Linked DNA regions of Sus scrofa. The main gene of each other region encodes a partner of the protein of the gene in region 3 in a complex. Links are inferred from orthologs where the notes say so. Each region holds a gene or a part of one and is shown on either strand. Other genes may lie near its edges.

Region 1 (4,397 bases), on a different chromosome or scaffold from region 3:
ACATTTAAAAGTAAAATTGGGAAAACATGCATCCTGTAACAGATTTTTAATTCTGATGCATCTGATCTCTGTGAGGAGCAGATGCTATCAAGAACCTACATCTTGGAGTTCCCGTCATGGCTCAGTGGTTAACGAATCTGACTAGGAACCATGATGTTTCGGGTTCGATCCCTGGCCTTGCTCAGTGGGTCAAGGATCCGGTGTTGCCGTGACCTGTGGTGTAGGTCGCAGATGCAGCTCAGATCTGGCATTGCTGTGGCTGTGGTGTAGGCTGGCAGCTACAGCTTTAATTAGACCCCTAGCCTGGGAACCTCCATATGCCGCGAGTGCAGCCCTAGAAAAGACAAAAAGACCAAAAAAAAAAAAAACAAAAACAAAAACAAAACACCTACATCTTGAAGGAAAAAGTACAAGTCCCAGTTTTAAGCTGCGGAGAACCCACTGACAGTGCTACCAGGTGTAAATGCAGGCAGAGATTTCTCGGTGCTACTCTTCTTATTAGATTATTACTGTTAATTTAGTGCTTTAGGGAGAAATGTCCACAGATTTTGAGAAGCTGGCCCCTAACTCTTTTTTCCATAGCCCCATTAATTTTAATCTGTGGTTTTGTAGAGTGTTGAGTTTTTTCAGGTACACAAGGCAGCATAGCAGAACTGCCTGTGTAAGCATTCAGGTTACCCGGAGGTTCTGTTCTCTAAAGTTGAGTGGGCATATTTTAGGACTAAGTCATAGGCCTAAGGGAAAATGCTTTGCATTATTGTGTATAACTAGGGTTGAAGCCAATAAGGAAGGTTTTGGAATCAAACAGTTAGTTTAATATACATTAATTTTGCTGTTTTTTTACTATATTCTTTTCATTCTAAACCAGCCATTTTAGAGAATATCATTAATCTGGGAGTTCCTGTTGTGGCTCAGCAGTGTAAAAACCCAACATAGTTTCCATGAGGATATGGGTTCAATCCCTGGCCCTGCTCAGTGGGTTAAGGATCCAGTGTTTGCTGCAAGTTGCAACATAGGTTGAAAATGCAGCTCAGATCCTGTGTTGCTGTGGCTATGGTGTAGGCCTGCAGCTGCTGCTCCAATTCCACCCGAGAACTTCCATGTGCCGCAGCTACAGCTGTAAAAAGAAAGAAAGAAAATAAGTAAATAACACGTTAATCTAATACTGACCCAAATAGCTCTTATTTTTAAGCCAAAAAAGAGGATACAAATTTTTATTCAAAATTAAATTATTGATTGTGATTTTTTTCATCTCTTATAAATATTGGGCCAGGATACCAAAGAAAAAAATACCATGCTATTTTAATTAGAAAATTTAATATGTATAGCTCTTATTTAATGTGTTTCAGTGATTTTCAGACTGGAAGCATGTTCTTTAATGCCACGAAATAGTATTTTTTGCTACACACAGCAACTGCCAAAATGGTTGCATCCTAGCATCTACAGAGAGGATCATGAGGGGAGGAGAGCAGAGATTTACCTCAGTCAGAGTGGGACGCAGCTGGTACTCATGTGGAAATAATCTTGTATCTAAGTTTGCTCCATTTTAAAATTTTACTTAGGGTAGTTCCCACTGTGGCGCAGTGAGGAACCAAGAGGTTGCAGGTTCAATCCCTGGCCTTGCTCAGTGGGTTAAGGATCTGGCATTGCCTTGAGCTGTGGTGTAGGTCATAGACGTGGCTCAGATCCTGCGTTGCTGTGCCTCTGGCATAGGCCAGCACCTGCAGCTCTGATTCAACTCATATCCTGGGAACTTCCATATGCCTTAGGTGTGGTCCTAAAAAGACAATAAATAAGTAAAATAAAATAAAAATAAAATTTTACTTCTGTATACTTTTATTCAAATGAGCCACAAATGCATCTTGCCCATGATTTAAAGACTGCTTTATGACATTCTTTGATATCAAACTTATGCTTGTTTAGACCTTTCTGACTCTGCCACTCCTAACGACCTGTCCCCCAAACACAAAAAGACTGAAAACTGTGAACAATTATTCTTTTTTTTTTCTTTTTCTTTTTTTTTTTTTTTTTTTTTGTCTTTTTAGGGTGGCCACACCCATGGCATATGGAGGTTCCCAGGCTAGGGGTCGAATTAGAGCTGTAGCTGCCAGCCTACACCATAGCCACAGCAATGCCAAATCCTTAACCCACTGAGCGAGGCCAGGGATCGAACCTGTGTCCTCATGGATGCTAGTCAGATTCGTCTCCACTGAACCACGACAGGAATTCCTGAACAGTTATTCTTTAAAGGACCTCACATTAGGAATTCATAGGTACTGAGTTGTTTTGGGGTTTTTTTTGTTTGTTTGTTTTTTGCTGTTTTTTTGTTTTTGTTTTTTTTTTTATCTTGTTCAGAGTCTTAAGTTAAATAACTGCATGGGAATCGAAGATCTAATATTTATGTCTTAGTGGATGTACCATGTCACATGTTGTAGATTATTAAACTTTTTTTTGTCTGAAAAATAGATTTGAGCCCTGCTTCTAACCTGTCCTTTAAAAGACATAGGGAAGGAAATGTGTAAAAGGACCTGGGAGGGGTTTTGAGTTCCTCAGCAGTATAAGCTCAAATTATTTGAAGACATTGCTAAGGTCCTCTTTCTCTTGACTTTCTTGAGCTGAAACAGATAAGACAGTTGTTGGTTCATCAGTGGCCCCTGGCAACACTACCCCATCCCCATCCTCCCCCACCTCTCCCACTTTGGATGCCACTGCCTCTCTGGAGATGAACAACCCTCACGCCATCCCACGCCGGCACGCACCAATTGAACAACTTGCCCGCCAAGGCTCTTTCCGAGGATTTCCTGCTCTTAGCCAGAAGATGTCACCCTTTAAACGCCAGCTATCCCTGCGCATCAATGAGTTGCCTTCCACTATGCAGAGGAAGACTGACTTCCCAATAAAAAATGCAGGTAATGCAGCATCCGCCTAACTCACTGGGTGCTCTGGCACTGAATTCATTATCATCACTTCCAGCAAACCCTGATCCCCTCAAACTAGCCACCCCTCCTTCTGAGGCTGGTTGATGGTTGAACCTATCTTGTATCATTTCCCTTTGGGAGAAAACTGAGGTTCATGGGGAGAGGCGTGAATCGTACATTTCTTGTAAATAAATAGGTATCAGGGTCATGATGGGAATTCCTAGCCCGAGCTGCAAGGTTTGTGGCTTGTCCTGATGAAAGTCTACCTGTTTCCAGACATCAAGGGTCTTAAGTTTCCATTCTTGTTCTGTCATTTGGGACCCAGCAGGGAATTAATTTGAAAGACTTTGGAAACATATCCAGTTAAATAGCATTACCGTAGGATGTACCAAAAGAAATGGATACGTTCTCATTGTCCTTGTGGCTGGTTGGCTCCACAGGGAAGAAACTCTAAACGATCTCCTGTGTAAATCTAAGACCTGTTGTTCATCAGAGACAGTGGGCTTGCTCACAGAGAGTCATTACCTTTCACAACTGCCACACGGGCCTTTGTGTGGCCTCTATACAGCTGAGCCAGCCCCTGTAGCTCTATCCTCATCATAAGATTCGGAGCTAAAGTGTCAGGTCTGGTCAGTGCTTTTATTGGAACCTATTTTACTTCACTCTGAGACATGTTGAGCCGGGGCTGTAACAGAATATGAGGAAGCTCTGCCTCAATAGAGCACTCCCACTGGTGGTGGTACAGAGGTACAGAGAGTTAAGTTCTTTGATGGATAAAACTAGACCTAAAGAATAGTTGGACTAGATGACCACTGAGTCTTTCCACCTCTCAACCCCTGTAAAAAACGAAACTCCAGTTGCTTCAAGTACCTCATTTTTAGTTTCACTCTGGAGCAGAAGGGAAACAAAAACCACTATTCTTTTTTCACAGTTGGAACTCATGTTATAGACATTTTTCATGTTGTCACAGCTCATATACCTGGTACTTTGGAGAAAAAATGAGAGTGATGACATTGTCATAGTTGATTACAGAGAAAAGTACTGAGCACACACTGGTGCCCCTGACTTTAACCCATTTTCTGACAAGAGTTTCTGAAGGGCTCCAGAGCTTAACTCAGACCACAGCCTTGAGACCTGGTCAGAAGACAAACAGGTTACAGATACCTTTCAGAAAAATCTCACTAACTGAACATCTTGACACAAAAAGAGTACAGCAAGTTCTCAACAGAGTCACACAGGAGAGGAAATAAAGAAATCCGGGGATTTGCAAGAGAGGAAGATAGACCTTAGTAAGGAATTGTTATCATTTTATACCTTCTCATGTGAAAAGCCAGTGAACAGTGGTCAGTAAATTTTTTGAAGCTGCTTTTTTAGCCCCTCTTGACAGTTGAGACTTTTCCTTCCACAAATAAAAGATGCGGTGTCAAATGCCACCTTGCATCTCCTGTTCTGTTTTAGGATTGTTCAATTGCTATCCTG
Region 2 (4,397 bases), on a different chromosome or scaffold from region 3:
GCACGTGCGTCCTAACAGAAACTGTGGCCTGGCGACCAGGAGGCCCAGGGCGCTGCCGCTCCCCCTCTGCAGCGAGGACACACAGGCACAGGAGCCAGAGAAGCCTGGAAGCTGCCGTTTCCCACTCGGCCATTCCCTGCTTGCTGCCGCCGCCTCAACAAGCTTCACAGTACCAGAGTCAGAGGTGCTTTTCTGCATACATATTTTTGGCATTAGGTATTCCTTCCTAACGTCCCCTAGTAAAGTCACTGGAAAATTCAGTTAATTCATTGGTCACTGTAGTTGGAAGGCTGGAAGAGTGTTAAAAAAAATTCCTTGGATTTGAGATAAAAACCTGTGAATGTGCTTATGGAATCTTAACATTCAAGACGGCTTCTCACAGAGAGGGAGACAAAAGCCTGCACGTGAAAAACTGCCTGGAAATATGACCTCCTGGTCTGAGGGGGGGCTCGATTAACTTGCCCATAATGCCTTATTCACACATCATGTATATGCAACAGCTGCAAACAGATGTGCAAACAAGCCAGAGAGAGGTCTTGTACACAGACATTTTCAGAAGCGAATCTGTCTAACGGAACAGCTCCGTCCAAAGCCTGTGCCAGGAAGGTATCACAGGACCCACAGCACAGGTATGTGACTAGAAAATTAAAAGGTGGCCTTGCCTGGAGGGAACAAAAGAAAATTCCTCTGGACGGCTAATTTTGAAATGGCATTTCTGGAGGAGAACTTTCCTAACCTAATGCACGCTATCACCTGCAGGCCAAATGAGTAAGAAATGTGGATGAGAGTCTCTAAATCATTTTATCCACTTTGAAGCAATTCCAAGTGCTAAAAGGAACTGACAGCTGAAAAAGTCCAAGGAAATAAGAGAATACGTGGGGAGAATTTCACATAGCAGTAGGGTTGTTTACAAAACAAGGGTATAGCATTTATTAGAGAGAAACCTCCTCAATTATGAGTGCTGTAACATAAAAAGTTCATGTCTTTTGCTGAAAATACATTGGTAGATCTGTCAAAGACATGGATTCATGGACACATTTAAGTTTCTTCATATTTAAGCTTTATAAACTTTCATTTCCATACATTATAAAGTCCGCCCCTGGTATGTGGAAGTTCCTGGGCCAGGGATGGAAACTGCACCACAGCATTGACACTACCAGACCCTTAACCCACTGAGCCACCAGGGAACTCCAAATTATAAAGTCGTAAAGTAAAATATCAAATACGCTCTTAAGGAAAGAAAACAGACCACAGCCTGAGCACCATAGCCTACCTCCATTTCATCTCTCTGCTCACTGTTCTCTTCATCTTGACCTCCGTTTTTGGGCATATAGGCCATCTTCAATCGCAAAAATCCCTTAACTCGCGATTTATGACTGTATGATGGAAGAAAATTGGTTATAAAGGATAGGACTTGGTTACATCTTTACAATGGTTCATACTGATGACTTTTTAAAAAGACGAACTAGGAGGAGAAGTTGAAGTCTCCCTCCGAGAAAACCAAGGGCCAAAGGATAGAGAACATCTGCATCTTAAGGCCTCACCTTCTTGGTCTGAGGAGAAAATCCTTAAATGTATAGGGTCGCTCCATGGTTGGGTCTTCTGTCTAGAGGAAGAAAAAGTAAGTTTCAATACTCCAGAAAGTTTCACTTTACATTTACAACAAACTGGATCACAGAGAACAGGTTTCTGTGTTTCAGGATGTGGGCGCGGCCAAAATGGGGTTGGTTCCTCACCCAGGACTTGACAATTAATGACACCTTTTCATAGGTCACAGAACTTTATCTACTCAAGATCCACTAGATGTCACTATCAACATCCATTTTTAGGAGCCAACCTCAGCCTTAGACAATTGACAAAGTTATAGTCGGTCACTGCCAAGTATAATTTCTAACTGCTGGGTGCCGGCCTCAATCTCATGGTGCTGATTAACTTCAGAGAACCAGTGGTCACTGGAGCCTGCTTGTCACCATGACAGAAGAAACCTAATAATGGAGCTAAGAGGAAACTATACAAGATCAATCTGTGAAGGCAATTTTACTTGACTTTTAAACACTAAAATATCACGCCATCAGCCTAAGACAATAAATGTTATCTCCTCCAGAGACTGTCCTGGGTGGCATCATCAATCGGTCTTTGCTGGTACTTATTTCATGAAGCTATGAATGTACTTGTGCTATTCATAAAAAACAAAAAAACAACAAACAGCATTCATTTTATTGTGCAAAATCAACTGGTCAAAGCCAGTAGTAGGAAATTAGAAAAATAAACATTACTATTTCACTAATTTAAAAATACTCCATGCATTAAAACTTTAAATACTAGTCTCTTTAACTGAACACAATGTAAAATATTTACTTTTGAAGCAAGAGAGACAAGCCACAGCATAATTTATTATATATCAGAAGTGTATGTGTCTGTATGCATTTATATTTGAAACATTATCCGTTTATGTCATTCCCTGCTTTAAACTCTCAATAGCCTCCTCCTCTGCTTAAAATATGCTGCATGAAAATTGTTTCCTGTGGACCTACAAGGTTAAACATGATCTGGTTCTTAATGACCTATAACCTCACTATGAACCTGTCTCTCCAGTTACCCTTCACTCCACCCATCCTGACCTCACTGGTCCTGTGTGCATCCCATCTAATCCTGCCCCAGCAGGTCCCTCTGCTGGACACCCCGGCTCCGGACGGTCACAGTGGTCTCCACTTTGCCACCTAGATCTGAGATCCCAGGTCACATCCCCAGACACTGCATCCTAAATCACCACCATTAGCCTACCTTTATCATCCTCTATCAAAGCATCCTGATTGATGTCCCCCCAATTCACCACCTGAAATTATATTGCTCCTTTATTTTTACTGCTTTATCAGCCTTCACTTGCACAGTATAACCTCATGAGATCAGAGATTTAAGTTGGGTCTTCACTGTATTCTTGGTGCCAAGAGCATTCCCTGGCACCAAGAACACCTGTATAAGTAGCCAACTTACCTGCCTGATCCCCCGAGGCCATGAAAATTCACCATCAGTCAAGAAAGTTAGTTACATTCTCTAGACTGTTCTAAGGCAGTAAAATGAGACAGAAAAAACAAAACAAAGAAACACCCAGCTTACAGGGACTCTGAAAATGGAACTATCCATACATACATAATTGAAATGACATCACCACACAGATCAAGAGGCAGATGTCCTAGGTCTGTGTCCAGGCTTCATTACTTACAGAACCATGTGGCCAAGGGCAAGTTCCTTTTCTCTCTGTGCCTCGGTATCCACATCTTTAAAGTGGGGCAATAACAGGATCTTGCTCAGAAGTTGTGTGTGACCATTAAACTAATCAGTTAATGGTTTAATGATTGATTAACCCGGTACATATGAAGACCTCACGAGGGTTCCTGCCACACTTAACAAATGCTGGCCATTAGCATCATCAGTCAGTTCTACCTTTTTAGGTCACTTGTGATTACTGTCAACTCAGTGCTCTGCAATAAAGGCAGGGCATTAACAACTGAAAAGTCACCTCCTTGGAGATTCTCCAGTGTGAACAAGGCAGTGATCTCACAGATAACAGCAGGATTCTTCTTGCCACTGTTCAGGTTCCTGCCTGATCCTATTCCCTGGAGAAAAGTGCAGGGGAGACTCCCAGGACAGCACTGAGAGCATACCTGGTAGAAAGCCATCTCAAACAGGTCGATGCTAACAGTATTCCTGGCTGAAATAGAGGCCACTAGCTCCTGTCCCAGGCCACGAGCATTCAAAAGAAAATCTTCTGGTTACCTGGCAATTACATCTTAAAAAGATGAGTTGCCTTAGGCAGAACTGCAATTACTCTGACATATATGCAATGAGATAAATAACTTTGTGGGCAAGTAGAGGGGAATGGCCTTATCAGGACCCTAGACTTGAAACCGGGATGAAACTGCCGAAAGCACCCAAGATTTAGCCTGAGCCCCTCTGCCCCCTGGTCCTGGATGACACCAAATCAATGCTGAAGACCCAAAGTCTGGTCACTTCCCTTTCTGGGCCCAAGGGGCCTCACCTGTAAAATACAGGGAGTGGATAAATGGTCTCCTGAGGTCCCTCTAAGCTCAATGATATGGAATTCTGCACACGTGAGAGGGAACCATCACCCTGGTATCAGCCAGAATTACAAAAGGGGTGTTCATTATCTGAGTTACCTGCAAGTACAATTAAGGTGCCAAATAACATCACCACCACCCCAGCAACGCCTTACTGCAGGAAAACTGAAACTCAAGTTAACCCTGATTGCCTTGGCTAAACAGGATAAATTCATAGTTTGACAATAGCTCTCTCTACCCCAGGGTGTTTCCCACCGACACAGAGGTTTTGCATCTGGGTAGAGGGTGAGTGTGCTGGAGGCTCAAAGGACAGGGAAG
Region 3 (4,963 bases):
CTAGTCGGATTCGTTAACCACTGTGCCAGGACGGGAACTCCTCCTCTCTCTCCTTTCTAATGCATCTGACTCTCCAAAGTAAGACTCCTGGCCTGAAATGTGGCTTCCATGCCTCTGGTGGTTCCCAACTACCTAGGGATGCTTCAGATCTTCAGCCTGGCATTGAAAACACTCCACAGTCTTGTTTTTTACCTCACCTCATGTCCCACTGCCCGACCTTTCTCACCATTTTGTTTTTATCTTCACTGCCAAGGCTTTGTCTTTGCAGACCCCACTCTCTCCCACCTTTTCCCTGACATTATCTGGACCAGCTTACCTCCTTTGGGGTATTCAGACATCTGCTTCTCCGAGACAGGGGCTGCGTCTTAACTCTTTTTTTTTTTTTTCTTTTTTTTCTTTTTTGTCCTCCCCTGGGCATACGGAATTCCTGGGCCAGGGATCCAGTGCTAGATCCTTAAGCCACTGTACCAGGCTGGGGATTAAACCTGCATTCCAGCCCTCCCAAGATGACCTCATTGAGCCACAGAGAGAACTGAGTGTCCTACTCATTCTGCACCTACTCTTTCCCCCAGTGTTGAGCATGCAGTAGGTGCTCAATAAAATTCTCAGAGAACCTCAGGCCCCTTCTCCTGCACTGCCCTTCGCATGGTATACTAGGTCTGGTCATGCTTTAGTTATTGGGATTTTCCTCTCTTGTCCGAGGCCCAGCCCTGGGCCTGGCACCAGGGTTCCTCAGCGTGGAACGCCAGGACTGGCTCAGTGACCAGCGGGTCCACTCTCCTCTTTGCCACTTTACAGGCCAACAGTAACCTTGAGCAACTCACACTGGTCTGGCTTTGAAAAAAGAGGCCAGCTGTACCCACTGGCCTGAGTTGTGAGCATCAGATACGATCGTGCCTGGAAAGGCCTAGCACTGGGCCAGCTCCTAGCAGGTGTGTCACGAAGGTTATCCGCCTCAGCCGGGCCGGTCAGTCCCTCCTCCCGCGTAAAGGCACAGTCTGCACAAGGCCACTCCCTAGGGTGGAGGCGCAGTGAATGAATGTGTTGTGGGGTGGGGGTGGGGGGGACGTTAGGCGGGACCGACTCTAATCTGCCAGCGCAGACCCAAGTGCTGGGTGTGGCCCTGCGAAGCCGAACGGTTAGACTGGGCGGGGGCGGGTCCAGACCGCCCGTCGGGCATGCGGCCTCCTGGCTTCCCCAAGCGCTAGTTTTATTTGCTTTGGAGTCCCTTCTCAATCTAGTGCTCTAACATGGGTTCAGAAGCACCTTTCCGGGTGGGGCCGTGACAGTGCGCTGCCAGCGGAGCAGCCATCTCCCGGCCCCTTCCCCGATCTCTGCAGTCCCCACCCCAGCGGTCCCCTCTTCACCTCCACCTCTGCGGTGGTAAAATGCAGCACTCGCACGGCGCCTGCGCGGCTTTGGGGCGGGGCGGTGGTCGCAGCTATTTATAGTAGCTGACGTCACCTTGAAATAGACCGTTAGGGCCGGCCCGCCCTTCCCCCCTCCCACTTGCGCCGCTCCGCGCCGCCCGGCCCTGCCCCTCCCACTGCGCAGGCGTCCTCCCATCCGCCCATCCCCCCGCGTGACCGCCTGTCCTCTCTCGGCGGCGTCCGCGGTGCGAGCCACAGCGCGCGAGGCGAGCCAGCGAGAGGTCGATCGGTGCTGCCTGCTGCTTGTAGCCTAGGCGGGCCGGCGAGCCAGTGCGCGTGCGCGGCGGCGGCCTCCGCGGCGACCGGGAGCGGACGCGCGGGCTAGCAAGCGAGTGGAGCTGGGCGCGAGGCGAGGCCGAGCCATAGCGACATGGGGGACCGCGAACAGCTGCTGCAGCGGGCGCGGCTGGCCGAGCAGGCGGAGCGCTACGACGACATGGCCTCCGCCATGAAGGCGGTGAGCGCGCCGGACGCCCGGGCGGCCGGCCGGGGGCCCGACGCAGGGGAAGGGTGGGCAACCAGGCGGCTGCTCCCTCCAGGCCTGGGGCGACCCCGCCGCCCCGCTGGGCGCGGCCACCCGCCCGCACACCGCGCTTCCCGCGCCCGCCGCGCGCCCCGCCATTTCCTGCGGCCGGGCCCTGGTGGGGTTTCTAGGGAGGGGGTGCGGCGGTGACCCCGCGGGCGGGCCATCTGGTGGTCGGGGGTCGCCATATCCCAGCTCGGACCACAGGTGAGGGAGGGTGCCCGTGGGAAGGTGAGGGAGTCACATTTCTCCTTCTGGATATTTCTGTCGGGCTGGGGCACCCCCTCTTTTCTCCACACCCCAACTTGTAATAAAGAATCACCTAGTGAGTGGCGCCCTGTCTCTCATGGTTTCCGCTGCCACTACCTGCAGTCGGTGTAATTCCGATCCGTTTTTGCTCCGCTCGCTGGAATCGTTCTGGTTCCATCCTCCCACGCCCGGGGTCCGCATTGTGTGCGGAGACCCCCCCCCTCCCCCCCGCAAGCCGGCGGGAGGGTGGCGGGCGTGTGGCTCCTTCCAGGTTGGATGCGGCACCCATCTGCTTGGAGACTAAAACGGGTCGTGACTCCTGGGCGGGCCGAGCCCGTGTACCTTTGCCTTGCCGAGACCCTCAGAGACCTGTCTGCAGCTCGATTTCCGGGGAAGGAGCCTTTGCCGACCACACCCTGGCAAATGCCCTGGATTAGATACCACCTGCGTGCCTGAGACTTAGGGTTGTGGCGAACTCCTCGCTAACCTCGTCTCCGCGCATTATTTCACGTTTTCTCCAAATGAACATTACTTCCCTCTGCGTCAAGGTCACACGGGTATAGCCACAGCTGCGGCCACCAACCTGCCATGTTCACCCAGTGTTCCACCTCCTGAGACCTGAAAGGATCTCCTGGGGCCCCACCCTAGACCTAAAGACTCAGAAACCCTGGGGGTGGAGCTCAGCTGCACTTGAACCAGCCCTCAAGTGGCAAGTGTTAGTAGGTTTAAGTTCAGCAATTACTGCCCTGGATTCTTTTTTTTTTTTTTTTTTTTTAGACTGCCCTGGATTCTACAGCTCATTTGCCCTTTTTCGAGCCTTGGGAGGGGATTTCTTAGAGGAAAAAACCCACAAATACAGAGGCTTCCTAAAATGTCAGAGTCATATAAAAAGCTCCTTTTAAAGCTTTCAATAGTAATATGTGAAGTATGTTGTTGAGGTCAATATTTGGGCTTATCCAGGTAAGAAGTGTACTTGAAGAGTTATCTCTTCCATGTTGTCCTTGTCACACATTGAACCAGATGTTTGGAAACCACCACTGCTGCCGCCACCTCGCATTTGTTGATTCATTGGTGATCCCAGTTTGAGCCCTTGCTTGGTGTCATGGGCTAGGTGGGAGCTTTTCATCCAGAACAGGGATGATTTAGGTTTAGGACCTGATGTCTATGTAATTCTGGGGGTCTTATAAGAAAAACAAGTGTAAGATACAGTAATATAGCAAATTTTACAGAATCTGGACTTACTGTGTGAGTGCATTTCCTTGGAAGGGGTTCTAAGCTTAATCTTCAGAATAAAGCCACTTTTGTCCACCCAGCAAGTCACACTTAAGTATGACTTTTCCCCAGTAACTGAGTGCCACTGGGATTATACTGGTTGAGGCCGCTCTTTGGACATTTTAGTGAGGCCCTTACTTATCCTGGAGTGGGACTTGAAGGCCACAGTGTTAGGAGGCTTTTGGGGAATAAAGCAGGAATGGGGCTGGAATCAACGTTGATGCAGGTTAAGGGAAGATGACTGGAAGGTAGTTCTGGAGCTATAGGCAACTTGAAATGGGAAAGGAAGAATGCAGAGATCTAACCAGAATGAAACAGTTTGTGGAGAGAAAATAATTGATTTTCTGGTCTTTATAAGCAATCTTGAAAAAAACGCTTTCCTGCAGCTACCTACTTGTGTCCACAGATTTTTCTCTGAGATGTTAAGGTAGGATTTTGCAAACAGATGGTCCCTTTTGTGTATTGGGAATATGTAATATCTGCATCTGAAATGATTGATGGGTTGGATAAGCCATTAAATATTCAATCCAAACTCTGTTATCTCAGAATTTCGATAAACCATTTCCTCAAGGTACCTCCTATTAAATAATAAGAATTTGGGGGGTCACTTTGCCTGTTTCTCCTATTAAGGAAATTTTTTTCATCCTAATGGACTACATTTATTGGAAAGGACTTGACAGGGGTCAGTGGAAAACAGTTTCTCACATTTCTACCTGTTGTTTTTTGTATGTTAAATTCTTAATGTTATGGAGAAGACTCAGTCCCCATTTCATTAATATCATAGGCCTAAAGTATAGCTTTTGGAAAGAGAATTCTGGGTAACTCTTTGGGTTTATGTGGGTTTCTCAGGACAGGTAAGTAGACTGCTTGCTCTGCCACACCTGGGTGAGGGGATGTTCTGCTGCCACCACTCTGTGACCTTGAAGCTCACATCTCTTCTGATCCTCTGACATGTAAAACTAGTAATGTTGGTGTTACTGTCAAGTGAGTTTTCAGTCTTCATCCTTCTAACTTGTTTTCTGTTTCCTTTATAATTTAAATGTTACCTAATAACATTGCCTGCCTGTACTGGCTCATGTTCCTTATGCTGTCAGCGTCACCTGGAGGACCATGTCGGTAAGGTTTAAAAAAACCATGCAGGTTGGAAACAGTGGGTTGCCTCACATCCTTGAGAGCTGCAATTCCCTGCCTCACTCTATACTTCGAAGGGGCAAAAATGTTTTTGAAGTGAAGTAAAGGTGTGTCTTCAGGTTCTTATTTCATATTGAGGAGCTTACATAGAGTGGACTAGTGGAAAGAAACATTGTGAAACATTCTAGAACCCAATTCCTTTCTAGACCAGGTGTGGAATGACCTTATACACTTCATAACCTCTGTAAAATGGGTAGAGTATCATGAGAACTATGAGATAAATGTATAAAGTGGGATTAAAATGTTCATAACACTAAGTGACTTAAGGAAAGAGGTAAATAACCAGATTTCTAGTGAA

The links. The genes of interacting proteins can lie anywhere in the genome.
Region 1: the proteins of YWHAH (region 3) and NUMB are in contact, whole or in part, in a crystal structure (PDB 5YQG), measured with the Mus musculus proteins. The link is inferred for Sus scrofa from reciprocal best matches to the Homo sapiens genes YWHAH and NUMB. Residues at the interface, in NP_035868.1 of Mus musculus: Arg57, Arg132, Tyr133, Leu177, Asn178, Val181, Glu185, Ile222, Leu225, Asn229; in NP_001129547.1 of Mus musculus: Gln274, Gly275, Ser276, Phe277.
Region 2: the proteins of YWHAH (region 3) and NEDD4L are in contact, whole or in part, in a crystal structure (PDB 7NMZ), measured with the Homo sapiens proteins. The link is inferred for Sus scrofa from reciprocal best matches to the Homo sapiens genes YWHAH and NEDD4L. Residues at the interface, in NP_003396.1 of Homo sapiens: Arg12, Glu15, Asn39, Asn43, Leu44, Ser46, Val47, Lys50, Arg57, Lys125, Arg132, Tyr133, Gly174, Leu177, Asn178, Val181, Tyr184, Glu185, Leu221, Leu225, Asp228, Asn229, Leu232, Trp233; in NP_001138439.1 of Homo sapiens: Pro444, Arg445, Ser446, Leu447, Ser448, Ser449, Pro450, Thr451, Val452, Thr453, Leu454, Ser455.

The regions. Positions count from the first base shown.
Region 1 is NC_010449.5:96,630,677-96,635,073, reverse strand, and holds part of NUMB (protein numb homolog), read left to right. Parts: intron 1-2,615; coding exon 2,616-2,909; intron 2,910-4,397. UniProt on the Homo sapiens protein: Regulates clathrin-mediated receptor endocytosis. Plays a role in the process of neurogenesis.
Region 2 is NC_010443.5:162,439,806-162,444,202, forward strand, and holds part of NEDD4L (E3 ubiquitin-protein ligase NEDD4-like), read right to left. Parts: intron 1,607-4,397; coding exon 1,545-1,606; intron 1,377-1,544; coding exon 1,274-1,376; intron 1-1,273. UniProt on the Homo sapiens protein: E3 ubiquitin-protein ligase that mediates the polyubiquitination of lysine and cysteine residues on target proteins and is thereby implicated in the regulation of various signaling pathways including autophagy, innate immunity or DNA repair.
Region 3 is NC_010456.5:48,542,553-48,547,515, forward strand, and holds the start of YWHAH (14-3-3 protein eta), read left to right. Parts: upstream 1-1,478; 5' UTR 1,479-1,800; coding exon 1,801-1,887; intron 1,888-4,963. UniProt on the Homo sapiens protein: Adapter protein implicated in the regulation of a large spectrum of both general and specialized signaling pathways. Binds to a large number of partners, usually by recognition of a phosphoserine or phosphothreonine motif.